4 linked regions of the Tamandua tetradactyla genome follow. Each later gene encodes a partner of the first gene's protein in a complex. Links are inferred from orthologs where the notes say so. Each region holds a gene or a part of one and is shown in the gene's direction. Other genes may lie near its edges.

Evidence for each region.
Region 2: the proteins of SFN (region 1) and HSPB6 are in contact, whole or in part, in a crystal structure (PDB 5LTW), measured with the Homo sapiens proteins. The link is inferred for Tamandua tetradactyla from reciprocal best matches to the Homo sapiens genes SFN and HSPB6. Residues at the interface, in NP_006133.1 of Homo sapiens: Val46, Lys49, Asn50, Arg56, Arg60, Lys122, Arg129, Tyr130, Glu133, Gly171, Leu174, Asn175, Val178, Glu182, Met202, Leu205, Glu210, Tyr213, Leu218, Ile219, Leu222, Arg224, Asp225, Asn226, Thr228, Leu229; in NP_653218.1 of Homo sapiens: Pro9, Trp11, Leu12, Arg13, Arg14, Ala15, Ser16, Ala17, Pro18, Leu19, Ser84, Pro85, Glu86, Pro107, Asp108, Glu109.
Region 3: the proteins of SFN (region 1) and RIPK2 are in contact, whole or in part, in a crystal structure (PDB 7OBS), measured with the Homo sapiens proteins. The link is inferred for Tamandua tetradactyla from reciprocal best matches to the Homo sapiens genes SFN and RIPK2. Residues at the interface, in NP_006133.1 of Homo sapiens: Lys49, Arg56, Arg60, Lys122, Asp126, Arg129, Tyr130, Pro167, Gly171, Leu174, Asn175, Val178, Tyr181, Glu182, Ile219, Leu222, Asp225, Asn226, Leu229, Trp230; in NP_003812.1 of Homo sapiens: Leu535, Gln536, Asn537, Lys538, Ser539, Met540.
Region 4: the proteins of SFN (region 1) and CDKN1B are in contact, whole or in part, in a crystal structure (PDB 7ORG), measured with the Homo sapiens proteins. The link is inferred for Tamandua tetradactyla from reciprocal best matches to the Homo sapiens genes SFN and CDKN1B. Residues at the interface, in NP_006133.1 of Homo sapiens: Lys49, Arg56, Arg60, Arg129, Tyr130, Glu133, Leu174, Asn175, Val178, Glu182, Leu222, Asp225, Asn226, Leu229, Trp230; in NP_004055.1 of Homo sapiens: Arg194, Arg195, Arg196, Gln197, Thr198.

Annotation. Positions count from the first base shown.
Region 1 is NC_135328.1:199,376,798-199,383,678, reverse strand, and holds SFN (14-3-3 protein sigma), read left to right. Parts: upstream 1-4,952; 5' UTR 4,953-5,119; coding exon 5,120-5,866; 3' UTR 5,867-6,361; downstream 6,362-6,881. UniProt on the Homo sapiens protein: Adapter protein implicated in the regulation of a large spectrum of both general and specialized signaling pathways. Binds to a large number of partners, usually by recognition of a phosphoserine or phosphothreonine motif.
Region 2 is NC_135342.1:30,228,715-30,235,910, forward strand, and holds HSPB6 (heat shock protein beta-6), read left to right. Parts: upstream 1-4,193; 5' UTR 4,194-4,246; coding exon 4,247-4,444; intron 4,445-5,349; coding exon 5,350-5,472; intron 5,473-5,609; coding exon 5,610-5,762; 3' UTR 5,763-6,680; downstream 6,681-7,196. Other genes in the region: PROSER3 (proline and serine-rich protein 3), read right to left, coding at 548-651, 763-890, 1,709-1,911, 3,092-3,157; LIN37 (protein lin-37 homolog), read right to left, coding at 6,779-6,860, 6,946-7,019, 7,111-7,196. UniProt on the Homo sapiens protein: Small heat shock protein which functions as a molecular chaperone probably maintaining denatured proteins in a folding-competent state. Seems to have versatile functions in various biological processes.
Region 3 is NC_135332.1:133,084,281-133,091,956, forward strand, and holds the start of RIPK2 (receptor-interacting serine/threonine-protein kinase 2), read left to right. Parts: upstream 1-4,663; 5' UTR 4,664-5,130; coding exon 5,131-5,303; intron 5,304-7,676.
Region 4 is NC_135333.1:75,264,561-75,271,827, forward strand, and holds the start of CDKN1B (cyclin-dependent kinase inhibitor 1B), read left to right. Parts: upstream 1-4,257; 5' UTR 4,258-4,765; coding exon 4,766-5,240; intron 5,241-5,775; coding exon 5,776-5,897; 3' UTR 5,898-5,905; intron 5,906-7,267. UniProt on the Homo sapiens protein: Important regulator of cell cycle progression. Inhibits the kinase activity of CDK2 bound to cyclin A, but has little inhibitory activity on CDK2 bound to SPDYA. Involved in G1 arrest. Potent inhibitor of cyclin E- and cyclin A-CDK2 complexes.

The DNA of each region.
Region 1 (6,881 bases):
TCACTAACACTCTTGTGTCCCAGCTGCGCTTTCTCTCACTTGCCCGTTTTCTCTCCTGCTTTGTTGTCTGCTGCCCCAGTCCTGGCCTTTCTCTGGGGGAGAGGCAGATGCTATGATAGCACCTGTTCCCACTGCCAGGGCCCCTGTAGGCTTCCTTGTTCTTCCCAATCCTGCTAACCCTCTCTCTTCTCCTTCTTTGCTGTCCTGTCCTGGATCTCCAGTGTGTGCTGGGGCTTAAGGACCTCCTGAGGACCGCTGCTCTCTGCCTCTCCAGGGGTGGCCTTGGGGAAGCCAGGCACCCGGCACCCCCACCTGCCTAACCTGTGGCCCGTCTGCCACCATCTGTGCCTACAGGGTCTGCCCCCAAGTCTGCCCCACATGTGTGCTCTCTTGGCACAGCCCCCTCCAAAAGAGGACGGGGCTGACCTCTTTGCCCCCCATCCACGCTCCATGCTGGCCAGAGTGTAGAAAGCCATAATGCAGCTGTCAGCACAATAATGTAATACTATGCTGAAACTCTCCCTTCCCACCTCCCCTTACTTTCCCTTCCCCAGATTTGTGAGGTGGCAAGACCCTAGGAATCTTGCCTTACAATCTCCCCCAACTCCCCACCCCCCCACCCCCCCAAAAAATGGCCGGCATTGCCATAGTCAGGTTGAGCAGGTTTCTTCAGGAGCCATCTGGAGTGCTGATGGTTGATGACGCTGCTGAACAAGTTTGGTGACTGTTCTAAGCACAACTGGCTTGACACTGTTCCCACGGCCCCCTCCACCCCCACAACCTGGAATAGGTAAGGATGCAAGGAGGGTGCTTGTACCTTTAGCTCCAGGCACTGACTGCCCCATGTTTTCAGAAGAATTAAAGGAAACTGGACCAGGCCTTGGAAACCAGTTGAACCCAGGGTCGGGGGCTGCTTGTCTGCTGTCCTGTACCTTTTTTAACCAAAATAAAGATACCCCTTTTCTTGCCATACTCTCGACTGTCTGCTGCCGCCTTTACTGTGGGGGCTGGGGGTAGAGTCTGTGGTCAGTGTGCAAGACAACATATGGCTATCTCTCACCTCTAGCTTTGTTCCAGCTTGTCTAGAGATTTTAAAAGACACACACACATACACACACACACACAATAAAGCCAAAAGAGACAAGAGTAGCCAGCATCCTTATCACTCTGCACCTCCACAACTCCGGTCTCAGTTCCAGGGATCCCCAAACCCAGGCTGAGACAGAGAGTTTAGCCCCAGTTCGTGGCTGTCACACTTTTGAATTGAGCCCCACCCAGGGTAACAATCTCATGGAATTTATCCTGTCCCCAGCTGCTGCCCAACATCCAGTCAAACACATACAGTGTGCAAGAGCTAGAAAATAATCACAGCTACCATTTACCAAGGACTGACCAAACACCAGACCCCTTTTCTTACCTTAACCAATGACGAAGGTGCTGTCAGTCCTGTTTTACTGCAGCTCAGGGCAGTTACAGGACCTGCCCTTGGTCACCTTGCTGGTAAAGCAGCAAATCCAGGATTTGCACCTGATCCCTGCCCTGATCTCTGGCCTGTCTGCCCTACCTAAGGAGTGATGAGGGCTGTTCCAGGAGAGTGGGCACTGCAGAGGGAGTGACCCAAACAGAGGAGAATGTCAGAGACAGCAGAAAGGGGGCTTAGAAAAAATCTGGGCCAGCCTCTTCAAATTGTATTGATGGGGAAACCAAGGCCCAGAGGCAGGCAGAGACTTACCCAAGGCCTTATATACAGAGCTGGAATGTAGTCCTATACCCTGACCTCGTACCATTTTCTTTCTACAAATTCCACACTATCTCCTAGACTAGATTGGTTTAGGAAATGAGGGATACTCTAAACAGCAGTACCATGAGGAGAAAAAAACAAAACAGCTGAGTCTCTTAAAATGTATCTGCTCCCAAAGGCAACTACCGTAGTGAGCTCTAAAAGAGCTGGAAAACTAGCCTCTTCTTCACAACTAAATGGGAAGAAGGTGCCATAGCCTCCTCGTGTCACCTTTTAGTTCGAACATTCCAAGACTGAAAAATTTCCTAGGAAGTTCTTTCTGAATCTAACTAGAGTCTTTCTTACTGCAGTCAAAGCCCTGTTCTCTGTTCTTGTGAAAGTAGATAGCAATTGGTTACTGTGTCACAACCCTTCCACTAGGAATTGATTGTCTATAGGCCCAGAGACCTTGAGGCTGCTGATAGGACAGATGCTGTGTGGAGGGGTGGGGAGGTTAGTAGAAGGGATGGGGAAAGTACCATTGAGCAGCAGCCCCAACTTCTGTCCTGCTGACTCAGGTGACTGACAGTGGAGCTCTGTGCTATGCCAGGACCTGCTGCCTCCTGCCTGTCTGGGCTCTGGACTTGGGAAACAGAAGCCTGGAGGCAAAGGGAGGTGCAGGAACTGAGTCAGGACTGACAGGCCAGAGCGAGCAAGAGGTTTCTAGCAACCTGTCTCCCAGATTCACCCCTGAGCTTCGGCAGGGGAGGGGCAGGTATGAAGGGGGACTCCTTTCCCTTGCTCTGGGGCTGTGCTGAGGGCATAGAGCTTTGGCATGAATCACCACCAGGTCCCCTGGCTTAAATGGTGGGAAGGGAGGACTCCCTGGAGTCCAAAGAAGTTTCCTGGTACCCTGGGACCTCGAGCTTTCCCCTCAGGACTTGGGAAAGCCTGGCTAAATGACTAGTGCAAAGGAAAGTACTTGAGGGCCCACAGCCTTCCTTAGACCAGAGGAATGTCCTAGATGGAGAGAGAAGAGGCAAGGTTTCAGCACATCTGTCCATTCATTCAGCTGGAGAGGGGAGAATGTGGGCCAACATTGCCTCCTTCTCTCTCCTGTGGGTGCCCAGCTGGGCAACATCTGGTCTTCGACTGAGGTCTGGTTGACAGCTCTTCCTCATTTCATAAACCCAGCTCCATGTTAATGCTTTGTGTGAATATGTTTATATAAGAAAGTTGGTTGGTTTTTTCACATAATAATAATAGTTACTGTAGTCACCACCACTCTCAAGTGCTTTCCCTGGACTCATTTAATCCTCACAAGTCTCATTTTACATTTAGGGAAACTGTGGCTCACAGAGATTAAGTAACTTGACCAAGGCCACAACAGTTTGTAGTGAATGAACCCAAGCAGTCCATCCAAAGATACTAGGCTGTGTTCTGTCTTTCATAGAAAATGATACATATTCACTACTGAAAATTTGGAAAGGATAGGAAAATCCCAAAGCAGAAAAGTCAGAGCCTCACTATCTAAAGTTACCCTCTATAAGTTGACATTTTAGTGTATTTCCTTTCCATCGTTTTCTGTGTCAGTGCTCCAAATTGAGCAGAGTCTTTGGGATGTCTAGCCTAAAATCCTTTCTGCTTCCTTGGAAAACCTAGGTCTAGGCATAAGCCTAGACATGTCCCTACTCTTCCATGAAGCAAAGAGGCATACCTCATCTTTGGGCTCCTTCCAGGAGGGCAGGGTGGGTGTTCAGATACCAAGAGGAACCAGGGAAGGCACAGCCCTGCAAAGCGGTCCTAGCTCAAGGATTAGACTGGTTGAGTTCCAGCAAGGGCAGTCCCTCCCCTGAGTCCCAGATGAGCTTTGGCTAGGGGTGGGGCAGATAAGAGGAATCCACTCTCATAGGCTCAGTGCCAATACCCTTAGGTGAAACTCTGGAATGACTGGAGGGCAGGGCTCAGTGAGCAGGGACAGAAGGTTGGCAAGGAGAAGATTCCATCTTTGGGACCTCTGCCAGGGGTCAGAGGTGGTGTAATGGGCAAAGGGAAGGGATAGGGAAACTTCTGAGAGGCTAGGCTGAGGAAGGAGTATATGCTGGATTGATGCCCCATAAAACAAAATGGTATGTGTCACCACCACCTCCATTTCCTCAGTACTGTCTCTCTCCCCACATTGCTGGCGTCCCCCCTGGGGAATCAGACCGGGCTGAGTACCCACGTGGTCTGCTTCCCACCCTCTGACAGAAGAGCAGGCTGAGTCAGGCAGGAAAGTGGGACAGCCAAGGAACTGGGCCCTCACCCCCCATGAGCCCTGCTGATACATAATGATGGCAGGTGGCTTGGAGGGGGCAGGTGGCCTAGCACAGAGAGCCAGAGAGTAAGTCCTCAAACAAGTGGCAACAGGCCACTGACTTGAAAGGGAAAATTGTGCTGTGATAGGGAAGGTGCCTGACAAACCTATTGCGTGACTAATTACAAAGGCCGGATTGGAGCGTCAGTGGCCGCTTGTTAAACACCTCATTAAGTGGCACCCTGAAAGCTGCCACCTCTGTAGTCTGGGAGCTCAAAGGGACCAGGACCCTGAGGGGAAATGAGGACGAGAGCTTGGGACCTTCTTCAGGGTCTAAATACAGCCTGGAGCTCACAGATCATAAAAGGCCTTGATGGGAGAGAAACCAAAGGAAGTAGGGTACAGAAGGGAGAGTCATAGGGATTTACTAGCTATGTGACCTTGAGCAAATTTCATCCCTCTCTGAGCCTCAGTTTTTCCATCTTTGAAGTGGGAACAGTGCTGCCCACCTTACAAAGCCATAGTAGGAAAAAAATTAGATCATGGATATGAAGTGCTTGGGAAACTGTATAATCCCACCTAAACATGAGTTACCTCATCTGAACCAAGGAGGCAGGATGAGGAACCCCATCCTCCTGTACCTGTCTATATGGGCACTGCCTGGGCTAAGTAGCCAGGTGGCTGATGCCATCTGTTTCCCCTGGAAAGATGCTGTGAAGGAGGATCTAATATGAGAAACCCAGACAGCTAAAAGGAACACCCGTGTAATGGCAGTCCTGAACAAGAGGAGGCAGCCAGGAGCCCCAAAAGGTGTTGGTGCAGGTGGGGCCCACTCCTGCATTTCTCCTGCTGACTGTTCTGATGACTCACCTCCACGTCCTGGCCCTTTTACCTTTAAGGAAGAGCCGGAAAGGGTGTGGGGAGAAGAGGAGAGGGAAGTAGGTCCCAGGCCTTAGTCCCTCCCCCTACCACTCCCCACCCTCCTCTGGGCCAGGCCACCCAGCCAAAAGGCAGGCGGAAAGCAGGAGAGGCACAGAGCTGAGTCCAGCATTGGTCCTGAGGCAGCTAGTAAGCCCAGCGCCTGTACGACTGTCCCCAGAGCCATGGAGAGAGCCAGTCTGATCCAGAAGGCCAAGTTGGCAGAGCAATCTGAACGCTATGAGGACATGGCAGCCTTCATGAAGGGCGCTGTGGAGAAGGGTGAGGAGCTATCCTGTGAAGAGCGCAACCTGCTCTCTGTGGCCTACAAGAACGTGGTCGGTGGCCAGAGGGCCGCCTGGAGGGTGCTGTCCAGTATCGAGCAGAAAAGCAATGAGGAGGGCTCGGAAGAGAAAGGGCCCGAGGTGCGAGAGTACCGGGAGAAGGTGGAGACCGAGCTCCAAGGCGTCTGCAACACTGTGCTCGGCCTGCTGGACACCCATCTCATCAAGGAGGCGGGTGATGCCGAGAGCCGGGTCTTCTACCTGAAGATGAAGGGCGACTACTACCGCTATCTAGCTGAGGTGGCCACAGGTGATGACAAGAAGCGCATCATCGACTCAGCCCGGTCGGCCTACCAGGAGGCCATGGACATCAGCAAGAAGGAGATGCCGCCCACCCACCCCATCCGCCTGGGCCTGGCCCTGAACTTTTCCGTCTTTCACTATGAGATTGCCAACAGCCCCGAGGAGGCCATCTCGCTGGCCAAGACCACCTTCGATGAGGCCATGGCTGACCTGCACACCCTCAGCGAGGACTCCTACAAAGACAGCACCCTCATCATGCAGCTGCTGCGAGACAACCTGACGCTGTGGACGGCCGACAACACTGGGGAGGAAGGGGTCGAGGCTCCTGAAGAGCCCCAGAGCTGAGCCGGGCCTGCCATCCACCCTGCCCTACCCCACCCTCTCCAGTCCCCCACCCCCGGCAGAGAGGACTCGTATGGGGTGGGAGGCCCGACCCTTCTCCCTTAATGCCCTGCCCTCAGCTCAGGAAGGCTCCATGGAGAGGAACCAGCAGAGCTGAGGCCACCTGGAGCCACAGCATCTCAGCTGTCAGGTGCTTGTGACCACTGATCTCCCCACCTGCCCCAGCTCTCTGCACCCCTTCCTCCGTATCCCGTCTGGGACCTGGGCCTCTTCTTCTTCTTCCTCTCCTGCCTCCCTCCTGCCCCTGCTGCCTCTGGATCTTCGGAATTGAGGAGTGTCCCACCCTTGTGTCTGAGAGGGGACTGTGGTGGGGAGGTTGGGAATGAGTGTGTGTGTGACCGTGTGTGTGAGTGTGAGAGCAAGATGGAGAATGAGAGGGAAAGCATGTTTGCTGGGTGTGACCATGTTTCCTCTCAATAAAGATCCCCTGTGACACTACTCCTGTCTTTTCCAGTTATTGTCGGTGGGCTGGGCCTGGGATTGGTGTATAATTTACAGAGACCGACTTTGGAGCTCTAGTTTAAGGGTCCCGACCTCCTCGAAGGGCCAACTCAGGCCCCACAGACGGGATTTTGGTGTGTGTGTGGGGGGGTGGCTCGAGATGAGAGGCAGATGGGCCAGCTCTCGTCAGGCTGGCCCCAAACAAACTGGGCCAAGGCGAGGGTGAGACTCCTCCGCCAGATTGAAGGGAGGTGAGGGATGCCTCAGTGCAGGAAGCCAGGGAGCTTGGGTCTGAGGAGGCAGGAAACTAGCGAGGGCTCAGGCTGAGGTCTCAGGACAAGGCCCCTAGCACGAGCGCTCCAGATTTGAAAGCCAAGAAAAGTCCCATTAAGTGTTCAGATCTGGGCGGGGAAAGGGAGTATGAGGCAAGGGTATGACGCCGCCATTAAAAGTTCAGATCTGAGGAGAGGGGAGAACAGAATGAAACGCGCTGTTGGGAAAGAGGCGCAAAGTGGGA
Region 2 (7,196 bases), on another chromosome or scaffold:
TGGCCTCTAAGCTTCTTCAGGCAAGAGCGATTTTCATCTGTGAATCCCCTCTACCCCCATGTACAGTCCTTGTTATCTGTGAAGTCCTTGTTGTCAGGAAGGTCATCTTCTTCACCAGGCCTAGCCAATCACAACATTCTATTCTCTGGCTCAGGGCTTGGCGCAAGGATAAGCCAATGAGAGGGAGTCCTGGGGCTTTGGATGGAGCTATTGGAGAAGTCCTCTCTTTCCCTGGAGTAGCTAAGTTAGTACCATGGGAGGCTCTAGGCTCTGGGGGTCCATCTTGGTTAATGTGAGGGAAAAGGCTGCCTGAGATGAGCCCAAAAAAGGAATACAGAGCCGAGAAAGTGACGTTCCCACAACACTGTCCTAACACCTGGATCCATCCATGCCTGAAAGCATCAACTTTTGGATTTCTTAGTTGCACTAACCAAAAATTCTTCCATTCTGGTTAAGTTTCCTTGAATTGGGGATCCATTGTAATTCTTTCCCAGGGCTGGTGCTATCAGTTCAATTGCACAGGGGAGGGGATAGATGGAGATGTCACCTGCTTCATTTCCTGAAGGGGGCCCACAGCCTTGGATGCACTGGCCACCTTGGCAGGAGTTGGGGCTGCTGCGTTGGATCTTCCTTCTGGTTTCTTGGCTCCTGCTGAGAAGCCCCTAATTGAGTTAGAGGGCCTAATAGGAGAGGCTTCCAAGGGCATTGATGAAGAAAGGTTTCAGGCCTGGGGGTGGCAATAGATGGGACTAAAACAGGTACCTGCTGCATGTTGACTGCTGGGGGCTAGAGACTCGGGCTGCAGCCACCAAAAGTCAGCTGGGGTTGGGCCTGCAGGCTGGCGTTCCTCTCGGCTTGTGGGCTGGGCCTGGCGGAACCGGTTTATATACCTGTGAGCATAAGGGCATGGGAAGTAGGTGGAAAGAGGTGAGCCAAATAATAAAAAAAATAATAATAACAGTAGACAGTGTTTATCAAGCACCATGGCAGAGCCTGGTAGTTGCTCCTCTTTGTTTGTTCTCTTCTCTCACAAAGTAATGCCATTTTTAGCTGGGCATACAGCCGTTCTTCTATAGCCTACACTTCCTAGATGCCCTTGTAGTCTTGAGGCCATGTGATTAGGTTTGGACTAACAAGATGGACTAACAAATGTGATTCTGGAAAGTGGATGTAGCTGGGACCATTTTGGTTCATGAAGGTAAGGGTAATAGCCTAGGGATGGGAGAACAGTAAGACACAAGGAGCCTAGGGGCTGCCTTATCAGTGCTAAGTGTTTCTGCGTGAACCGTCAGGAAAGAGAAATAAATTCTCTTGTTCAAGCCGCGATTATTTTGAGATTCATTGTTATAGCAGCTGAACCTGTATTCTACAAATCAAAGTGCTCACTCTGTGACAGGCATTGTTATGGATGCTTTACATACAGTAAATCATTGAAAACTCAAAACAGCCCTAGGGGATAGGTGCTATTAGTATCCCAAATTTACAGATGAAGAAACTGAGGCGAAGATCACACAGATAGGCTACAGGGTTGGAATTTGAACCCAGACAGTACAGTTCCAGAACCTAAACTCTAAATAACACACATGAAGTACTTGGTCCTAAAAGAGTACTGCATAAACAGCTCTGGCTGTGATGACTATTCTGGGATGCGTGCCTTCTCCCTCTGACCCAAACTTTCCTTTCCCCTTAGGCTTCTGGTGGTACTTACTTGGCCACCACGGAGTCCTCACTGTCTGCCAAGATGGGTGGTGGTAGGGCTCCCATCTGTCCCTCAGAGGTGCTGGTTGTGGAAGGAGTGCCTGAGCTGGATGGCCAGGACTCCTCAAATAGCTCAGGGGAGTTGGGAGCTGTGGCCAGAGCCTGGGGAACTGCTGGTAGCCTGGATCTGTGGTGCTGGAATGGGTTCAGGGCCTAAGACAGAGGAGAGGAAGAGATGAAACAGTGAGGTCTGAGTAGGCATTCCTATAGCAGGACAAAGACACACATGATGTCTCAGTCCAGAGAAGAAGAAACACATCCCACAGTGGTAACCACTCAGACGGATAGGGACTGTGGTAGAGGAACTAGGTGGTAGAGGGCTGGACAAGGGCAGGGCCTTTGGGGGAGTGGGGGCCCGGGACTGTCTCTTAACCTCTCACCCTCATCTCTTATCCCTTGTTTACCTTCCCTCTAGCTGTCACTCCCTTGCTACTGGGCTGGCACACATTACTCTCTGTGGGGTGTCCTTACCTTGGGGCACCAGGTCTGGCTTCTGGATAGGCTGTAATGGCTTGGAGTCAGGGAGTGTCCCTAAAAAGTCTGCCTTGTATGGAGAACACTGGCAGACTGCAAGGGGAGAATGGAGTGGGGCGCGGTGTGGAGTGGGGGGTGGTAACAGGACCAGACTATAATTCTCATGGATCTCTGGAAGAGATGTCTAATTTTCATAAGACACCGATGCTTATTCAATGTAAAGATACCGGAGGCAGAATTTCCATGAACCCTCTGAGCAGGACCCAGGAACTGCTAGCTGGCGGTTCTCAACGTTCGATCCAGTCTAGGAGGGCCTCTTAAAAATACGTATGTTCAGTCCCCACCCTAGACCCAAAGAATCAGGGTATCTATAAGTGGAGCTAGGCATCCCTATCTTTTTCAAAGCGTTCCCGGTGATTTTGATGCAGTTTGCGGTGTTAAGAACCATTGCTAGACCATAAATCACTTGGGGCACTAAGGAGAAAAACAGAGGCGGACTACAATCCCCATGAGTCATTGGGCTTCACCAGACGCTAGAATACTGGAAAGACACCATGGGTGTCTGGAGATAAATTCAAAAGAAAGAGACTTAATTCCCAAGATGCCCTTGGGCACCTTTAGAGGAAAGAAGCCCTTGGGGCCACAAAGCAAAACATAAGATACTTAGAGGACCACCCCCCCGCCCCGGGATGGTGAAGTCCAAGGCTGGAGGGGTAACGGGAGGTGAGGCATATTGGGAATTGTAGTTCCAGTGAGGTTGAAAGCGAGAGATTCGCGACTCTGCCCATAGGCTCTTTCGCCCTCATCCCTCGGTCCTCCTCAGGCCTCCTGTTATCCCCGGAAGAAGGATCTGTCTTACTTGCGGTCCATCTCGTGGCCCTGAGGGCGCCAGTTCCGCTCCTTCACCTACAGGCCCCGCGCGCATCTCTGTCGTTTAGCAATGCTCCTCAGCCCCGCCCCTCTCTGGTAGTGTTCGCGCGGAAAAAGAGCGGCCCCCCAAGGCAGCCAATGAACGGGAGGAAAATAGAGCTAACTGTAAAGTGGCCAAAGGGAGAAGTTTCGTGACTGGCTGTAACGAGAGAGCATGTTTGAATGGTGAGCCTATACCGGGCAGCAGTGATTGGCAAGCCTGTAAACGAATGGAAAGGATCTAAGGCCGCTCGGCGTCTTGCTGTAGAATTACCTTTCGGATTCCAATCTAACCACTGTACTTCTGGTTGCAGGGACAATCTGGGAGTCTTTTCTCTCGCTAACCATCGTCCATCAGTTTAGCCAGCCAGCAGTCCTGTCGGTTATCTAATCACATCCCTCTTGTATACAGGAGCAGCTGGTTGAGCCAGGCGCCAGGTCTGGGCACCTGGCCGAGGTGGCAGGATCAAAAGGAGCTATTTCGGGCCTCGGCCCCGGGGGGCCAGCCTGTACTGTTGGTGCCTGCGACCCCTGGACGCTGCTCACCTGGCAGATCCTGCTGCCTGTGTACCCGAGGCTGAGTCAGAGGAACAGAATTAGGCCCGGCTTGCTAGGAGGCTGATCCCAGGGCCCAGCGGAGGGTGGGGGTAGGATCTGTTCTGTGTCTTTTTGACAACCTGCCCGGTCGCTGCATTTCCCTTACCCAGGATTCTGCCCCCAAGGCCGCCATCTGCGTCATCCCCAGAGCTGCCTGGAGAGTGGGGGTGTATTAAAAGGGCCGGGGGCTCTGTAGTGGGGTTCTTGGCCTTGGGTCCCAAACGCCGCGCCTCCCCCTCCCTGGCAAGGCTGCCTCCAAGGGAAGTTGGGGGCTCTTAATGACACCTCCCTGGCTGCCTTTGCTAGACATGCAGCAGGCGTTCAATAAATGGCCAAGTCATTGTTGGGGGTTTCTAAATAAGGCTCTACTAATGGCCAGGTCTGGCCGCGGTCCCGGTGTCCCTGGGCGGCCCGCCGAGGGGCGGGCATAGGGGTGCGCTATAAGGCGGCTGCCGCGTACGCAGAGGCACTGCGGCGCCCAGGGCGGCGGCGGCGACGGCGGAGCAGGATGGAGATCCCGGTGCCTGTACAGCCGACTTGGCTGCGCCGTGCCTCGGCCCCACTGCCCGGCCTTTCGGCGCCCGGGCGCCTCTTTGACCAGCGCTTCGGCGAGGGGCTACTCGAGGCCGAACTGGCTGCAGTCTGCCCCCCAGCGCTCGCCCCCTACTACCTGCGCGCACCCAGCGTGGCGCTGCCCGTAGCCCAGGTGCCAAGCCTGGGGGAGGGGCAGTAACCCGGTCACTCCGGAGGCCAGGGGTCCGGGTCTTCCTGAGGGGGTTGAGGGAATGTCCGATGACTTTTAGTGGGGTGTAGAATCCCGGCCACTTGGAGGAGATTCCAGAGTCCCCCAAGGGTGGAATTCAGCCTTCTGAGAGGAGTGGAGGCACCGGGTTACTGAAGAGCTTGGGAGGTTTCTGTCGCTCTGAGGGGGTGGAAAGGCTCATCACCCTTAGGGTGGGGCGTTCACTCTGAAGAAAGAGGGGAGAGCCCAGTCATTCTCAGAAGCTCGGAGGAGCCCCCCAGTGACTCCCGAAGCGTGGTATGTTCTGGTATTCTAGGGAGAGATTGGAGATTGGAGTGTGGGGGGCCCGATGTCTCCTGGAAAGATAGAGGTGTGTGGGGGGGGCGGGTCCTGTGACCTGGGAAGTGGGCCCTGGCCACTGAGAAGTGGGGGAGGAGAACCAGTAATTGCCGAGGGCCAGAGGGGTCCTGTGATTCTAACCTAGAGACTGGGGGAATAGGCGTCTTCGTGATTTCTGGCCTGGATAGGGAACGGAATCCGGTGACTGAGAAGTGGGAAGTCAGTGCCCCAGGGGGAGCGGTGATAAGGGGTCATTAACACCGGAGGTGGGAGTCAGGTTTCGGTACCTTGTAAAGGTGGAAGTTCCCGACCTTGCAAGAAAAGGAAGCCACATCACCCTGGGTGAGAAGTGGATCCCAATGCTGACTTGGGGAGAGGGACCCTACTCCGTCACACGGAGGACTCCCCAGTTCCGGAGGCGCGGGTCAGAGGAGCTGGGGCGGGGTAGCACCGAGGCCCATGCGAGAAGGGCCTTGATGGGTCCCGGGAGCCTTGCCCCTCCCGATGACAGTTCTGCCCCGCATGCTCAGGTGCCGACGGATCCTGGCCATTTCTCGGTGCTGCTGGACGTAAAGCACTTCTCACCGGAGGAGATTGCAGTCAAGGTGGTGGGTGAACACGTGGAGGTGCATGCGCGGCACGAGGAGCGCCCGGTGAGCTCTCTGGCGGGGGTGGGGCCGGAACGCTGTCTTGAAGGCCAGGCAGGCCGGGCGGGGCGAAGACCTTACTTTAAGAGCTTTGGGATGGTGGTTGCAGGGGCAGTGCCGCTCAAGCCTCTCCCCGTCCCCAGGATGAACACGGCTACATCGCACGCGAGTTCCACCGCCGCTACCGCTTGCCGCCGGGGGTGGACCCAGCCGCCGTGACGTCTGCTCTGTCCCCCGAGGGCGTCCTGTCCATCCAGGCTGCTCCCGCGTCGGCCCCGCCAGCTGCTGCCAAGTAGGGATCCGGGCACGCCTGAATCCCGGGCCTCCCCAGGCCCCCTCTTTTAAAGTCGACCTGACTCTGCCCAGCCAGATGTCCTGAGCGCGCCAAGACCACACAACACCCATCCGGGACCCTGCCCCGATACCAGGCCCTATACTCTCCGATACCCCCTCTCCCAACTTTCAGACCCTGCTCCCAATCCTTCTTTGCCTTCAGATCCTATGCCAGCACTACCCCTAGCCTTCAGCTCCCCTCCCCACTGATTCCATTCTTTTGGCAGATATCCCTATTCAAGACGCTCCTATTCTCCTCTTACTCTAGGAAGAAACCTCCTCTACACCCCCCACTTCAAACCCCTTCCCCTGGACTCCAGATTATGTGTACACAGCCCTGCCCCTACCCCAGAAGAGTCAGACTTAACTTCCCCCATTCCCCACACCCTACCCCTCACTGTCCCAGGCTCTGTACAAAACTCCCACCCAAGACCATCCGGGCTGGGTTCCCCAAACGGACTCTTTCCCTTAATCCAACCAGACACTCCACTCTCCCCACGCCCATCTTCTGTCTTGAAATCCCAGTTAGACAAATTTAGGCTTCTGAATCCCTTTTCTGATCCCCACCCTTGGACAGACCCCACTTGTCCCAGGTCAACCTGATCCCCACCCTCAAACTGTACAGACATCCCCCAATTTCCCCAGACTTTCTGCAGATACCCCAGGCCCCCTTCCCCAAGTCTAACACCTCAGCTCTTTGTTCTGACCCAAGTCCCCAGCCAGATATCCCAAGCAATTCACCTTCCACACTTCTCTATTCATCCTCAATCAAGCAGATGCTCCCCTTCATTCCCCACCTTGCTCCCTCCTTGAACTCCCTGCTGCCCTGCCCCACTGTCCCCACCTAGGCCCACTCTCCCAATAAATGTGCTGGAGCTGTACCAGCTGCCTGTTTTTGGGTAGAGAGAGATAGGATGGAGCAAGCAGAGGCCAGTGTGGAGGAGGGAGTTGTTTATTGGGGTAGGGAGACAGGGGCACATCACTGTCGGTCATACATCTCTCGTAGGATCTTCATGCTTTCTGAATAACGGAGCTGGTTCCGATGAGATGCCTCCTTCCACCTGGGGTGGGATTGGGGGTCAGAGGGAAGGCTCAGCAGTTGGGGCAGAGACCATAGAAGGGCAGGCAGGTGTAGGAGATGCTTACCTCTGGCGGATGCGTTTCCAACGCTGCATGTTGAGGTAGATGAGTGTGGAGGGTGAGGGCTCAGGCTCAGAGGGCTGTGGGGACAGAGGTTAGGCTAGGTGGCTGTGCCCCGAGGCTAATACCATGTGCCCCACTCCCAGCCCCAGGCCAGTCTTGCATACCCACCTCATCATCAGGGGTACCCTGGGTCTCAGGCTGCAGTGGGGATGGAATGCGGGATCTGCAGGTATCTCCGGGTGGCCCAGGGGCTG
Region 3 (7,676 bases), on another chromosome or scaffold:
CTCCCTGGCGGCCTGAGACATGACTCCCAGGGATAAGTTCGGCACTTACACTGTAGGATCAACAATTCCATCCTGACTAGAAGGGGGAAAAGAAGTGTAACTAATAAAGTATCAGCGGCTGAGAGAGTTCAAATAGAGTCGAGAAGCTACTCTGGAGGTCACTGTTATTCAAGCTTCAGTTAGACATTGCTACCTATCATAACTTGCCAACCCCCAACCAAAACCATTCCAGCCAATCCTAAAGAACACCTAGGGCAATATAAAAGATTCTACAAAATTCCATGCACTAGGGTAACTTTCCAGAAACCTTACAACCTCCAAATGGGTCCCTGGACCAGATAAGTCCTGAAACCTAGAGGGCCCAGCCTCTCCAGAACATCAGCTAGCTCCTTCTTCCTATCCAATACTACTGACAGCCCCTTCCAACATGAAAAAATTAGAATGGGCATAGCCCAAATACCCCTAAAGAGAGGGAAGAAATATCAAAGGTGATGGTGGAGTTATACAGAGAAGATAGGTTTTAACAAATGAACATGATTACTAAATCATTAAATTGATATTTTAGTCTCCAGTATTTTAGAGCAGCTAGAAGTAAAAACCTAAAATTGAGGAACCGTAACCCATACCAAAACTCTGAAATCTGTTCTACAACTAATTGTGGTGCTGTGCTTTGAAATTTATTGCTTTTTTGTATACGTCATTTTTCATAAAAAAGAAAAAATGTCGATTGTAATGATAAAAAGTATTTATTCCTTCTAGCCTTCTATATTCTGGAATAGCTAGAAGGAAAAATCTGGGAGAATGGTATGGCAGCCCATGACAAACTCTGGGATCTGTCCTGTAACAATTGGTTGAACAGTGCTTTGAAAACTATTGCTTCTTTCTTTCTTTGCTTTGTATATATGTTATATTGTACAATAAAAAAGTTTAAAAAAAAAAAAAGAACAACCTTGAGAATTCAATGGACCACAGGCTTAATCTAAATTAATAGTTTAACAAGACTGCTGAAAGAGAAAAGAAAAAGAATCCTGTCTTCCATTGCATTAATAGATTCACATCAAAGACAAGCCCAGCAAATCTCACTCTCATTGATTATATGGAATTTCGAACATTTAGACATAAGAGGATACTGATGAAGTAAAATGGATTCACAGGAAAACAACGAAGCCACTGTGAGTCTGAAGACAAGCTGAAGTAAATAAATTCATATGCCAAGTATTCCCGGTGTCCGGCTATACAAAAAATACAAAACAAACAAAAAAAACCAGCATGTACTTTTCTGACTCTCATTATAACAGACTTTTTGTCATTAAATACATCAGGTGCTCTTTGAGACACTGTTTTCTGGGGAACACTGTATCAACTGACACTCGCACCATTACTGTAGGAGCATTCTATCTGCCCCATATTTTCATCCATACTTGTTATATTCTTTTGAATTTTAGTCATTCTAGTACGTGTGTAGTGGTGTTGCAATGTGTTTTTTAATTTGTAATTGCCTGGTGGCTAATGATGTTGAGTATTGTTTCACATTTATTTGCTTTTTGGATCTCCTCTTTTGTCATCCTCAGTTATGTACAATAAACATTAATAAATCAAAACTATTGAAATTGCCTACACTCTTCACTCAATAACCACCACAGAATAGTTTGAAGAAATGTTTCTTCCTTTCTTCTATAATTTTTATTTTTCATAGAATTATAATTGCCTCATTTTTCTCATTCATTTTTTTCAAATAACCAAACAATATAATTTCTCAAAAAACTCAAAATTAGCCTATAAAGTCAATTATTTTAAATAAATCTAGCAAAAAAGTACAAGTCTATACTCTGAAAACTACAAAATGTTGCTGAAACAAATTAAAGAACACAAAAATAAATGAAAAGCATAACATCTTCATGGATTAGAAAACCTAACATTGCTAAAACAGCAATGCTCCTCAAATTAATCTACAGACTCCATACAATCACTATCAGAATCCCAGCTGATTTCTTTGTAGAAACTGACAAGCTGATTTTAAAATTCATGTGGAATTGCAAAGGACCCAGAATAGCCAAAACAATTTTGAAAAAGAAGAACAAGGTAAGAGGACTCACACTTCCCAATTTCAAAATTTACTACAAAGCAACAGTAATCAAGAAAGTTTGGTACCGGGCGGGCCGCGGTGGCTCAGCGGGCAAAGTGCTTGCCTGCTATGCCGGAGGACCTCGGTTCGATTCCCGGCCCCAGCCCATGTAACAAAAACAAAAAAACAAAATACAATAAAACAAGAAAATGTTTAAAGATGTTTCCCTTTCTTCCTTCCTTCCTTCCTTCTCTCTGTCTTTCCTTTAAAAAAAAAAAAAAGAAAGTTTGGTACCGGCATAAGAACAGAGATATAGATCAATGGAATATAATTGAGAGTCCATAAATACACCCATACATCTATTGTCACTGATTTTTCAAGAAGGATGCCAGGACCATTCAATGAGGAAAGAATTGTCTTTAAAACAAATAGTGTTGGGCAGGCCACAGTGGCTCAGCAGGCAGAATTCTTGCCTGCCATGCCAGAGACTAGGGTTCGATTCCCAGTGCCTGCTCAGGCAAAAAAAAAAAAAAAAAAAAAAAGTACTGGATAAACTGGATAGCCATAGGCAAAAGAATGAAATGGGACCCTTTCCTCATACCACATATAAAAATTTACTCAAGATTGGTCAAAGAACTAAAGATAAGAACTACAACTGCTAAACTCTTACAAGAAAACACAGAGTTAAGTCTTCCTGATATTAGCTTTTGCAGAGATTCTTAGATGTGACATAATAAGAACAAACAGCAAAAGAAAAAATAGGTAAACTGAACTTTGTGAATATCTGAAACTTTTGTGCTTCAAGAAAGTGAAAAGAAACCCACATTATGGGAGAAAGTATTGGCAAATTATGTATCTGATAAGGTTTTTGATATTTGGCATGTATAAAGAACTCTTACAACGAAAAAAATTAAAAGATAAATAACCTAATTTTAAAACAGGCAAAGGATCTGAATAGACACTTCTTCAAGGAAAATACACAAATGGCCAACAAACACACGCAGAGATGCTCAAGATCAGGGAAATGTAAGCCATGACCATGAGATATCATACCACACCCGCTAGGATGGCTAATAGAATAGAAAAGTCAGAGAACATGTTAGCAAGGCAATGGAGAATTTGGAAGCCTCAGACAGTACTGGTGGGAATGTAAAATGGTGCATTTACTTTGGAAAAGAGTCTGTCAATTCCTAAAATGGTTAAACGTAGAATTAAATGACCAGCAATTCCACCCTTAGGTATATATCCAAAAGAAACGAAAAACCTGGTTCACAAATGCTTAGCGCAGCATTATTCAAGTCAAGATAGAAACAACAAAAATGGCCATTATCAATGACAAACAAATTGATAAACAAAATCTGGTATATCCATACAATGGAATATTATTTGGCCACAAAAAGGAATGAAGTACCAATACATGACACATATTGGCTGAATATCGCAAACCCTATCCTAAGAAACCATTCACAAAATCCCATTTATTATCTGATTTCTTTCATATAAAAGTACAGAACAGTGAAATCAGAGACAGAAAGCAGATTAGTGGTTGCTTAGGGAAGTAATAGCTAAAGGGCATGGTTTTGTTTGGTTTTTTTTTGGAAGTGATGAAAATGTTCTAAAATTGACTGTAGTGATGGTTGCAAATATCTGCGAATTTACTAAAAATCACCGAATTATACAGTTTAAATGGATGACTTGTATGATATGTGAATTATATCTCAAAAATTGTTTCAAAAAATACAGAAGCAGTGATTTTCTGTAGGCAGAATTCCTCCATTTAAGTCAGGCATTCCTTAGTATCGTTGCCTTAAAATTCATTAAATACTTAGTGTGGACTTGTTATGGAATATAATGTTTGCATTCATACTCTATGCAACTACACAATAGTCACCTAAGTAGAAAGATGTTTGTCAAGAAGGGTGGAAAGACAGATTTTGTTGCTGTTGTTGTTGGCATTAAGGACTGCGTGCATTTCTCCCAGATCTGTAGGAAATAAATCCTTGCAGTCTTACCTGGAATCAGAGGCAAGGGCTCTTTCAGGGTCATTTTCAGTATCTCTCTATATAGTTATGGAAATTAGGGAGGAGAAGGAAGGCAGATTCCTAGTACAGGAGCATATAACTAGAGCTGAACCACTGAGCGTGCTGCACTCCTATAGGGTTTATCAACTACCTCTCACTCCTCAAGTAACTAGAAGTGAGGGAAGACGGGCGTCTAGTTCGGCAAATTTACCGTTACGGCCACGCCGGGCTCATTTTGTGTGGGGCCCTAGGAAACCACCAGGCGCCCAGAAGCGCTTTCTGCACAGGCGCAGAGTCGCCACGCGAACTCCGCTCGTCCTCCCCCTACACCTCCCCCTCCCCCTCCCCTTACCCCTACCCCCAGCCCCACCCGCTCCATCTCCATCTCCCGACTTTGGGCCGGAAGAAAATTCGCCGGGCTGGGAGGGTCCGCTCACCAATCGGACTTCAGCCAGCAGGCCGCTGAGAGGGACTTCCCCGAAAGGAAAATTTCCAAACCCGGGGCGGGGGAGTGGGGCGGGAGGAGAGAGAACATAAGAAGCGCCCCCGGGTCCCTCCCCGTCCCTCACTTCCCTGGCCCAGCCGCAGCCTCCCCGGATCTCCCGGGGCTCACGCGGGGCGGGAGTTTGCCCGGGAGGCCTGCCTCTCGCGGGCGCAGTGTCCGCCACTGACGTAGCCTGAGAAGTTTGGGGGGAGGAGCTCGGCGGCCCGGCCCGGGTGGCGGGGTGCGGCTGGGAGGAACCCGTCCCGGATAGGAAGCTTCTCCTTGGCAAGGCGCGGCGCTCCTGAGCTCAACACTGTTTCCAGAAAAGAAGCGTCCGCTCCAGCTCGGAAGAAGCAGCGGGCGGTGCAGGATCCGGCGTGAGCTGGAGAATGGGCGACCTTGTGACTTAGTGTTCGGAGTAGGAAGGCCCTCGCTTGCCTGGCGCAGGGGCGCTTCCCGGAGCCCGAGCGCTGGCGGAGAAGCCGCAGGAACGGCGGGGCCGAGCCGCGGCGGGCAAACCGGGAACCAGCCTTGGCCAGAGTGTCCGCGCCGCCGCAACCATGAACGGGGAGGCCATCTGCAGCGCCCTGCCCACCATCCCCTACCAGAAGCTCGCCGACCTGCGCTACCTGAGCCGCGGCGCCTCGGGCACCGTGTCGTCCGCCCGCCACTCGGACTGGCGCGTTCAGGTGGCAGTGAAGCACCTGCACATCCACACTCCGCTGCTCGACAGGTAGGGCGCCAGCGCGGTTCCCGGGCCGACCCCGAGACCAGCTGCACCCCTCTCCGCAGACGCCTGTCCGGGGCCAGCGGATTTTGGATCCCAAACGGCAGTGACCACTCCCCTCATCAACTCTTGGTTGTTCTGCAAGGCCTGGGGCTGGCGTGGTGGGGAGAGCGCGCTGGCTCTGCGGAGGCAGCAATTGGACTCTTACGCTCATCTCGTGTAGCCTCTGCCCTTTCTCTTCTGCCCTCCTTTCCTCCTCTTTTACTCTCCTAGGTTTCCTCTCTGCATTTACTAAAACCCAGCAATAACAGCCCAACTCTGAATGCCCTATTTATTGAAATTGATGTGTGTTTTTCGAGGGGGCGTGGTTGTGTTTGCTTTGGTTGTTTCTGTGTATGTGTGTGTGTGTTTAAGTGGTTCTAGAGCTGGGCTGTCCTCCAATACGTTGCTCGCAGTAAGCCACAGGCAATCTTTGAGCTCTTGAAATGCGGCGGTCCAAATTGAAATGTGTTGTAATTGTAGAATATACACCGGATTTTGAAGACTTACTATGAAAAAAAACCATCAAATATTTCTGTATTTCATATGTTACGTGCTGAATGGTAACTTTATCCAAATTCATTTTTCCTGTTTCCTTTTACTTTTTACAATGCTACTGCTAGAAATGACATATATGGCCCCCCTTGTATTTCTATTGGACAGCGCTCCACTACAGTCTGAGATATTTTAGAGGTTTGAACTTTTTGTTGTTTTTGTTTTGTTCGTGGTCGTGAAAGTTTAAATATCAAAACCACACCCAAAGGAAATCTGTTTTATTTTTGCACTAACATAAGCTGAGGACTGTTAAATGGTCAAAGAAAATGCCTCTGGCGTCCTGGAAAAAAAAATAGTGCAGTGTATAGGTTTCAAGGGAAAGCTAGCATTGATTTCTCTTTCCAGGGAAACTGCTATCATACTTGCAGACCTGTGGCTGAATGTATTAGTTAGTGGGTCCAGTCACTAGTTTTGTGTTCTGTCCTTGCAATAGGGATTTAACTAGGTAGGCCCTGCACTAGTTAAAATTCCTAAGAGCAGCACTCTGTTCTTGACCTGTACCTAATTCAAAATACTTGGTACCAGATCCCTGATTGGATACAAGCAGTTAGTGTCCAATATCAGATCGAGTCCTCAGCTTTCAGCCTGCCAATGTTACTGGATTTTCACCTTCCTGTACCCTTTCTTTACGGCCTCTTACTATCAGGCTTGGGCGGGCTGTAGATTTGGGACGCTTCTGGAGATTGTCCCCCCTTTTTGTATGCCATCATCCCAGGACAGTGACATACAGGGTGTGGTGTCTGTTTACCCTGGGCCTGTAATTCTGTGGAGCAAGTGCTGAGCAAGTATGTGTGTGAAGTCAACTTTGAAGGGTGTTGGTTGGTCAGAGAGGGTGGATATATTTTAGAACCATCTATGCAAATGGAAATTTAGCACTGAGGGACCCATACGATATATATTTTTTAAATTTATTTATTTATTAATTTAAAAATTAAGAAGCCAAATAAAACATCAATGTATATAATCAGTAATTCACAATATCATCACTTAGTTGCATATTCATCATTTCTTAGAACATTTGCATTAATTCAGAAAAAGAAATAAAAAGACAATAGAAAAAGAAATAAAACAAACACAGGAAAGAAAAAAAAAAGATTGTACCTACCATACCCCTTATCCCTCACTTTCATTGATCACTAGCATTTCAAACTAAATTTATTTTAGCATTTGTTCCCCCTATTATTTATTTTTATTCCACCTATATGATATTTTAAAGCATGTTGGTCCTTCTCCCGTTTTGAATGCTGCTGCTGCATCTCAAGATTTTAATTTAAATTCTAAGCTTTGTGCCATTTGGAGGCAAAAGAGTGAAGGGGGAGGGAAAACATTCTCCCTCCATACTCATTACACAATTTTCATAGTCTAAAGGTCGCCTGTAGAATTGGGTAGGAAATTAATTCTGTCTTCAAAGAAGCCTCAAAAACAAGAGAAATGCATTGAACTTACTGTGGCATTGCCATACCTCCTTCTTTTGTACCATTTGTTACTTAAGATCTTAATATTAGCAGTATTTTTGTAGTCTGAGTTTAAGGTTGAGCCATGCAGTTGACTCACAAGGTGTCCATTTCCTCATTTATAAAGTGGGACTAATAAATACATGTACTTGGGCCCTGGCATGGATATTGGTTGAATTGTTCTTTTAGATCAACTGAATATAAAAAGATTTATGTTCATGATATATGTCCTTATTTTAGTGATTGGGGAATCATTCTTCATAACCTGCCTTCTACCAATGAGAAAACCTTTGCCAAAACCTCCCCACCCACAAGGAGTAGAGGAGTATGA
Region 4 (7,267 bases), on another chromosome or scaffold:
CAGATATCTGCATGACTTGCTTTCTCATATCCTTCCGGGCTTCCCTCAAAGACCATTTTCTCAGTGAGGCCTTCCCGGACCATTCTATTCACATCGCCACCCTGACAGCACTCTCTTTTCCTCTCCCCGGTTTGATGTTTCCTCATAGTATGTATCACCTTCTTACACAGTGTATATTTTACTCATTTTGTGCCCTCCCCTCCCCACTCTAGCATGTTAGCGTCATTCAAGTTTTTATCTGTACGAATGAGATACTTCTGTATCCCCAGAGCCCAGGATACTGTCTGGCACATAGTAGGTATTTAATAAATATTTGTTAAATCGAATTTAAAAAGCTGTCAGAAAAGGTGACTGAAATTCTGATCTCTTTAAAAACAAAACAGTTTGGGGGAATGGTGAGGGTGAGTTAATGCTACCTTGTTAAAAAAGCCCTCGAGGAAGGGTAAAAAAATAAATGTGTATTTGCACCGGGAGAGGCAACTGGGCAAGACACTGTGCACCTTGGGAGAACGGCTTGCGGCTGTATAGCATTGGGGAGAGAGGACTGCATCTGCGAACACCCGCGCTGCCCGCCCACACCATGTGGATACTTGTCTACTAGGCAGGTGCTTTCTTTTAAGTTGTTTGGTCTTTGCCTCTAGCAACTTGCGAAAGATACAGAACTCTGGGGTGGCCTACGTGACACTTCTCAGCTCTAAGTATGAAACCAACAGGAGTGAAAACAACAAACTAGGTTCTGAGTCTTGGGGAAGCAGAGCCCATTTTAGAGCAGCGCCCGCAGAGCAGAACTTTCTGTCCTCTACTCAGGCTCCGCCTTTGTACTGTTTATCTGAACATTTCTCCCTGGTTTACTAGCCTAGCCTGCAGCTGAATACTTTCCACAGGAGGATGGTGCTCTGATCTCCACGTTCCCTCTTCCCTCGGGGACTCCATAGTATTTTTTCACGCTTCGTCGCTACTACAGCAGACGCCTGCTTTCTCATTATTTGCTGTACAGATCTCCGGTGACTTGACTGTAAACAAAACACTTTAGATCATAGCAAGGTCATAAGCACAGCCTTTCTGCTGGCAGCCAGACTTCTTAAGGTGGCGTGACTGATTCATTTAGTTTTCAAGTTTAGCAAAGCAACAAAATGGTGTTCCTACCTATTAATCGAAGAAAAATTGTGTAGGGGATAAAAGTGTTACTCTTCCACTGTTATACAAGTGGAATTTTGTGTAATTCCACTTACGTTTTTACATGAATAACATCAAACTTCTGTGTAAGGTAATACTCAAGAATTTCTCCATTGACTTACATCTGGTAGTTTGTGTATTTGTGCATATTTACACACATGCACACATATAATATAGAATTCCTGTGTAGTCTAGAAAATATTTAAAAATTTGGACAAGCAGAAACTCTGAAACCCAGAGTTACCAGTGTCTACAAGAGTTCCAACATGTTGCATTCCCCTACCCCATAATATTGACACCCCTTTTCAACATGGAGAAGTTAGAATGGTCATTACCTAAATATCCCTAAAGAGTGGGAGAAGGATCAAGGGAGAAGGAGGAGTTCTAATAAAGAAGACAGGATTTAACCAATGAATATGACTACTGACTCATTATATTGGTATTTCTTTTTAGTCTCCACTGTCTTAGAGCAGCTAGGAGACTGCTCTAAGGTGAAATTTCAATTGAAAGGTGAAAATATTCCCCTAAGGATCAATGTCCATCTTAGGAAGTTTGTTATAAAGCTACTATGTCCTCATGTCTGATTTTATTATTTGGGCATTTATTTTTCTGCTCTCCCTTGAAACTTGAAACTTAACCATCAGTTTGGTCTTGAGCAAGGCGGTGGAAGTTAAATCAGGATGGGCAGGTCTGTCATATCTCAGACATAACTCAATGAGTCATTAACTGTCTCCCCCTACCCCAACTCCCATATCATACATAGAAATTTGTTCTCTAACTTCTTGTTAAAATATGCTTTGCAATTTACCACTTTTTTGTATATATGGTATATTTCACAATAAAAAATGTTTTAAAAAATTGGGCAAGAATGATCTAATTTCAAGGGTAAAGTATAAACTACCTGGTAATGAGGGCTGTTCTAACTTTCCTGTTCACCCATCCCCAATCCAATATTTTAAATGGGCCATTAAATGCAGAAAAACAAAGAGGATGAGAATGCCTACTTTGATCCCAGCTGAATTATTTTCTGTTGGTCAGGTAGGAAGCCCTGACTTTGAAACCACTTCTGGGCACTGTCTTTGTCACTCTTTCTGCATAGCACCTGTGTCCTTTTGGAATGTGCACTTTAGTTGAAGTAGTTGATAGTGATGCCAAAGGCCAGTGTCCTCTGCATTAAAATATCCGTGACCATAAGCCAAATTATGGAAACATCTGCAGGCAGTCTAGGGCCTGGGAAGGAGCCATTTTGAATCACTTGTACTAGAAGAGGACTTGCAGGCTACAGCACAAGGGAACTCAGACGGAAACGTGAACCAATGGGGATCATTAGAAAGGAAAGGAGCAGAAAATGAACCAGACTGAGAGTTAGGAGACCTTGTCTAGTCCTAACTCTGGTACCAACTGGATGTGTGTCCCTGGACAGGAAACCTCTCCAAGTCTCAATTTCCTCACTGGTCAAATAAGAGAGTTGAACCACGGGGTCCTGACAATCTTCCCAGCTCCAACCATTTTGGAGTGTATACAATGAGGAAGACATGTAAAATGGACAAACAAGATGTGGCTGTGAAAGCAAGCTAAAGAGCAAACTCATCTAGCATGAAGGCATGAGAAAATATTGTTGCTGTGTAATATTTGCAGTGAATAAATTTCCTGTAAAATGTCTTAACTTTGACCCAAACTAAAATAGTGTGTATTGGGAGCTGGGGTGGGAGGCAGTTAAAAACTCATTGGGTTATGTCTGAGATATGACAGACCTGCCCATCCTGATTCAACCTCCACTGCCTTGCTCAAGACCAAACTGATGGTTAAGTTTCAAGTTTCAAGGGAGAGCAGAAAAATAAATGCCCAAATAATAACATCAGACCTGAGGTAGCTTTATAACAAACTTCCTAAGATGGACATTGATCCTTAGGGGAATATGTTCACCTTTCAACAGCTTGCAACGCCTTAAAAGCGTTCACTCTCATCTGATTGATGTTCTGGGTGGGTTGGAGCAGTGAATCTGGTGGGAGAGAAAGGTGGAGGAAGGAAGGAGCTGTTGTGTTTGGCGCCGGGACACAGGTAGAGGAAACTGCTACATTCCGGGAAAGAATTATAAAGTATAAAGAGAAGGAGACGAGTCCCCACATGCAGCCAGTGTCAGTACCCTTAACTGTACTTGGGAAACAAGAACTTGAGCCAGGAGTATAACCTCACTTTTCAAACCTAAATGTATCTGAGATGGCTACAAAGTTTATTAAGGGACTTGGGAAACCTAGGGGACCAGTGCAGCTTTTGATCTCGGGACCCTTTCTTTTTTATTGCAGGAAAGCTTGAGTTCAGAATATATTAAAAATGCTGTCCCTACTCCCGGCTAATTTATAGAAAGCGGACAGCCCTGACTTCTACCCTAAGCCCCCTGACTCCCCTTGGATAACAGAGACTCCTGGATTAAGGATGAACTAATCACCGCCCACCTTCACTCCACAACTAAGACACTCAGGCGGGAAGGTGGTGGTGGTGGTATTCCCAACCCTTAGTAAATGTTTGCCGGCCTCCTCAGCAGTCCGCGAAGTGGGGGGCGGGGGTGGGAGCACTAGTGAGAGATCAGCAGACCAACGCTCCCGCACTCTGCCTCTGCCCCTCAACCGCCCGCACCCGGGGTCGGCGAGTGCTGGGAAAATAAGATCGCCACCGAAGCTCAACACAATCTGCAAGCACCCTTAGAGACCTTCGGGTCCAGCCCCTTCGCTTCACAGCGAGGAGCTAGAAGTCAGGTTTTACCAGCCGCAGCGGGCCAGACTGCGCAGCGCCGGGACCAGAACCCCAGGCCCCGCCTGCCCTGCCGCCGAGGCCCCTCCCCAGCTTCCCGGCCGTTTGGCTAGTTTGTTTGTCTTATTTTTAATTTCTCCGGGGCCAGCCAGAGCAGGTTTGTTGGCAGCAGTACACCTCCAGCAATCACGCGACCAGCCAATCTCCTTGCTGCACTCTCCGAGTCGGCGCGCCCAGACCGCGCCTGGGCCACCTTAAGGCCGCGCTCGCCAGCCTCGGCGGGGCGGCTCCCGGCGTAGCAACCAATGGATCTCTTCCTCTGTTTAAATAGACTTGCGGTGTCAATCATTTTCTTCTTCGTCAGCCTCCCTTCCACCGCCATATTGGGCCACTAAAAAAAGGGGGCTCGTCTTTTCGGGGTGTTTTTCTCCCCCTCCCCTCTCCCCACTTTCTCGCCACGCTGCGATTCTGACGCCGGCAAGGTTTGGAGAGCGGCTTGATTCGCGGGACCGGCGGGTTAGCTGCTGCCGGGACTTGGACTGGCTTTTCCACCTCCTCCCCCTGCCTCCTCCCCTCCGCTCCCCGCCCTCCAGCTCGCCCGCACACTTGATCCGCGGAGACTGTCGGCACTGCCTCTCCGGGGCTTCCCCTTCCCCCTCCCCCAGACCCAGTGCGCTCCTGAAGCCGGGGCAGTTACTTGTTAGTGTTTGTTGGTCTTGGCTCGGAGGGCATCGCGGGGCTTATAAAAGGGGGTTGGGTTGGATCGGGGCGTTTTGTTTTGTTCGGTTTTGTTTTTTTGAGAGCGCGAGAGAGGCGGTAGTAAAGACCCGGGAGGAAAATGTCAAACGTGCGAGTGTCTAACGGGAGCCCGAGCCTGGAGCGGATGGACGGCAGACAGGCGGAGTACCCCAAGCCCTCCGCCTGCAGGAACCTCTTCGGCCCCGTGAATCACGAAGAGTTAACCCGGGACTTGGAGAAGCACTGCAGAGACATGGAAGAGGCAAGCCAGCGCAAGTGGAATTTTGATTTTCAGAATCACAAGCCCCTGGAGGGGAAATACGAGTGGCAAGAGGTGGAAAAGAGCAACTTGCCCGAGTTTTACTACAGACCCCCGCGGCCACCCAAAGGCGCCTGCAAGGTGCCCGCACAGGAGAGCCAGGATGTCAGCGGGAACCGCCAGGCTGTGCCTTTAATTGGGTCCCCAGCAAACTCAGAGGACACACATTTGGTAGACCAAAAAACTGATACAGCAGACAGCCAGACGGGGTTAGCGGAGCAGTGCAATGGGATAAGGAAACGACCTGCAACAGACGGTAATGACCCTTTCAAAATAATAAAATGTCTGTCTGTCTGTCTGGGGCCCCGCTTTGCCTGGTTGGGGCGGGGGTGGGGGGGGCGGTGGTGGCCCACGTCTTTACCTAAAAGTTTTCTTTCTTTTCGGTGTACTTTGTTGTAGCTTTTGGTTGTGAACTTTATTAATCTTAGCTTGTACGTGCTACCTGACTGTTTGTTTATGATGTTTAAATCAGAAGCTGGAGATTGTAGTATCTGAGCATTTCTCTCACCGCAGTTCCCGCCCCCGCCCTGCTAGGCAGCTGTAGTAATGTGGGTGTTTATCAACGGTCTCCCTCTCCGCTAGGCAGAGAGAGATTTGGGGCGTAGAATTCACTTTCTGTTATGTGAAAACAACTTTATTTTGTGCACTAAAAGGCCACTGGTGATTGTGGGTAGAGGTGGTGGGCTTTTCATTCCACGAGTTGACTCACGGGCCAACTTTTGTCAGCCATTGCTTTTTTCTAACAAAGCTTGTTTGTGTTTTGTTTTCCTAAAATTCCTCCTTGCCCCTAGATTCTGCTCCTCAAAACAAGAAAGCCAACAGAACAGAAGAAAATGTTTCAGACAGTTCCCCGAACGCTGGTTCAGTGGAGCAGACGCCCAAGAAGCCGGGCCTCAGAAGACGTCAAACGTAAATCATTTGGTGGGTTGATCACTAAGGCATATAACTGACACCCAAACTGGGCTGCAGGAACCCGTGGACCTTCAGACTCCAAGATAGCTGATCTGACTGGTTGCTGGCAGATTAGGAGCTTATGGGGTTTTGTGATGTTTATATTTTGTGAGATCAGAAAAGTAGGATGAAGAAGGCTTGGAATCACTCTGGGGATACTGTAATTCTTCAACGTTTCCCTTGATACACTGAACTAGAACAAGTGTCCCAGGCAAGCAGTGGTAGTGAGGGCCCATTGCTAGGAATGTCATTTCCCTGTCAGCCCCACCAAAACATGCTGAGAACAATAGGTTCTTTCCCCATCTGAACAAAACTGGGGTAAGCCTCAGTCCCACTTCATGAGAATTCATTTCAGAGGTTCTGGAGGATTCAGTAGATTCTAAGCCATACACAGAAATGATTAAATTTAAAATTTGAGGGAAGAATTAGGTACAAATAACTCCATTTGGTTAATCAAGTGGTTAGAAATGTGAATAGGGTGGTATGTTGCTATCTTTTATCTTTTGTCACTTTCACAGACTGTCACTTTTCCTGTTTTCTTGCAAGTTTTTGGGAGAGAGAAGGAAACTGCATATTTAAAAAAAATCCAAAATGGAACGCTCAAATATACTAAACTATACTACAGTGGTAGCACTGAAGTTGGGAAGCAGAAGTTAAATTTACTCTACCAGAGAAGCAATCCATGACCACGTCAGCATGCGTATGCTAATCGTGCTGTAATAGAACGATTTGGATATTTGTAGGGGAAATGGACAGTAGATACCAGGGCTTCCTGAGGATAGATTTAACCAGTACAAGGGAAGGGGAGAATTCTGTCTACTAAAATCTGATCTACGCAAATAGCTAATTTGTATAATTCAGCACCAAATTTTCTTAGATTATAGCGATTTATAATAATGAAATTACTTATATTCTAATAGCTTACAGACTTTTTAAGGACAAGGACCCCGATATCTTTTTCCCCCCAAAAAATATACTATACTTAAATATCTGAATAAATGTTGATATTAATGTTTCAAATCATTTATAAAAATTTTAAAATAAAAACACAGGGATTTAAGTGGGAATCAAGTTTGTTCTATTTTTAAGCAATTTGGAATGTAATATATATGATTTCTCCTTATACGTGTGATATTTTTTAGAGCTTATACAAAACAGCACTATAGAACCTTTATATTACAGTTCTATATGAAATGAGGAAGTTTGTAAAAAAATTCCCTTAATACCTGAAGCTCTACTGGTCTGATAGCTTTGCTCTTCAAAACCACAGTAAATCAGATCTACTGGCACACAGAGAAGCATTTGTCCATAAATATTGCCAATTCAGGAATA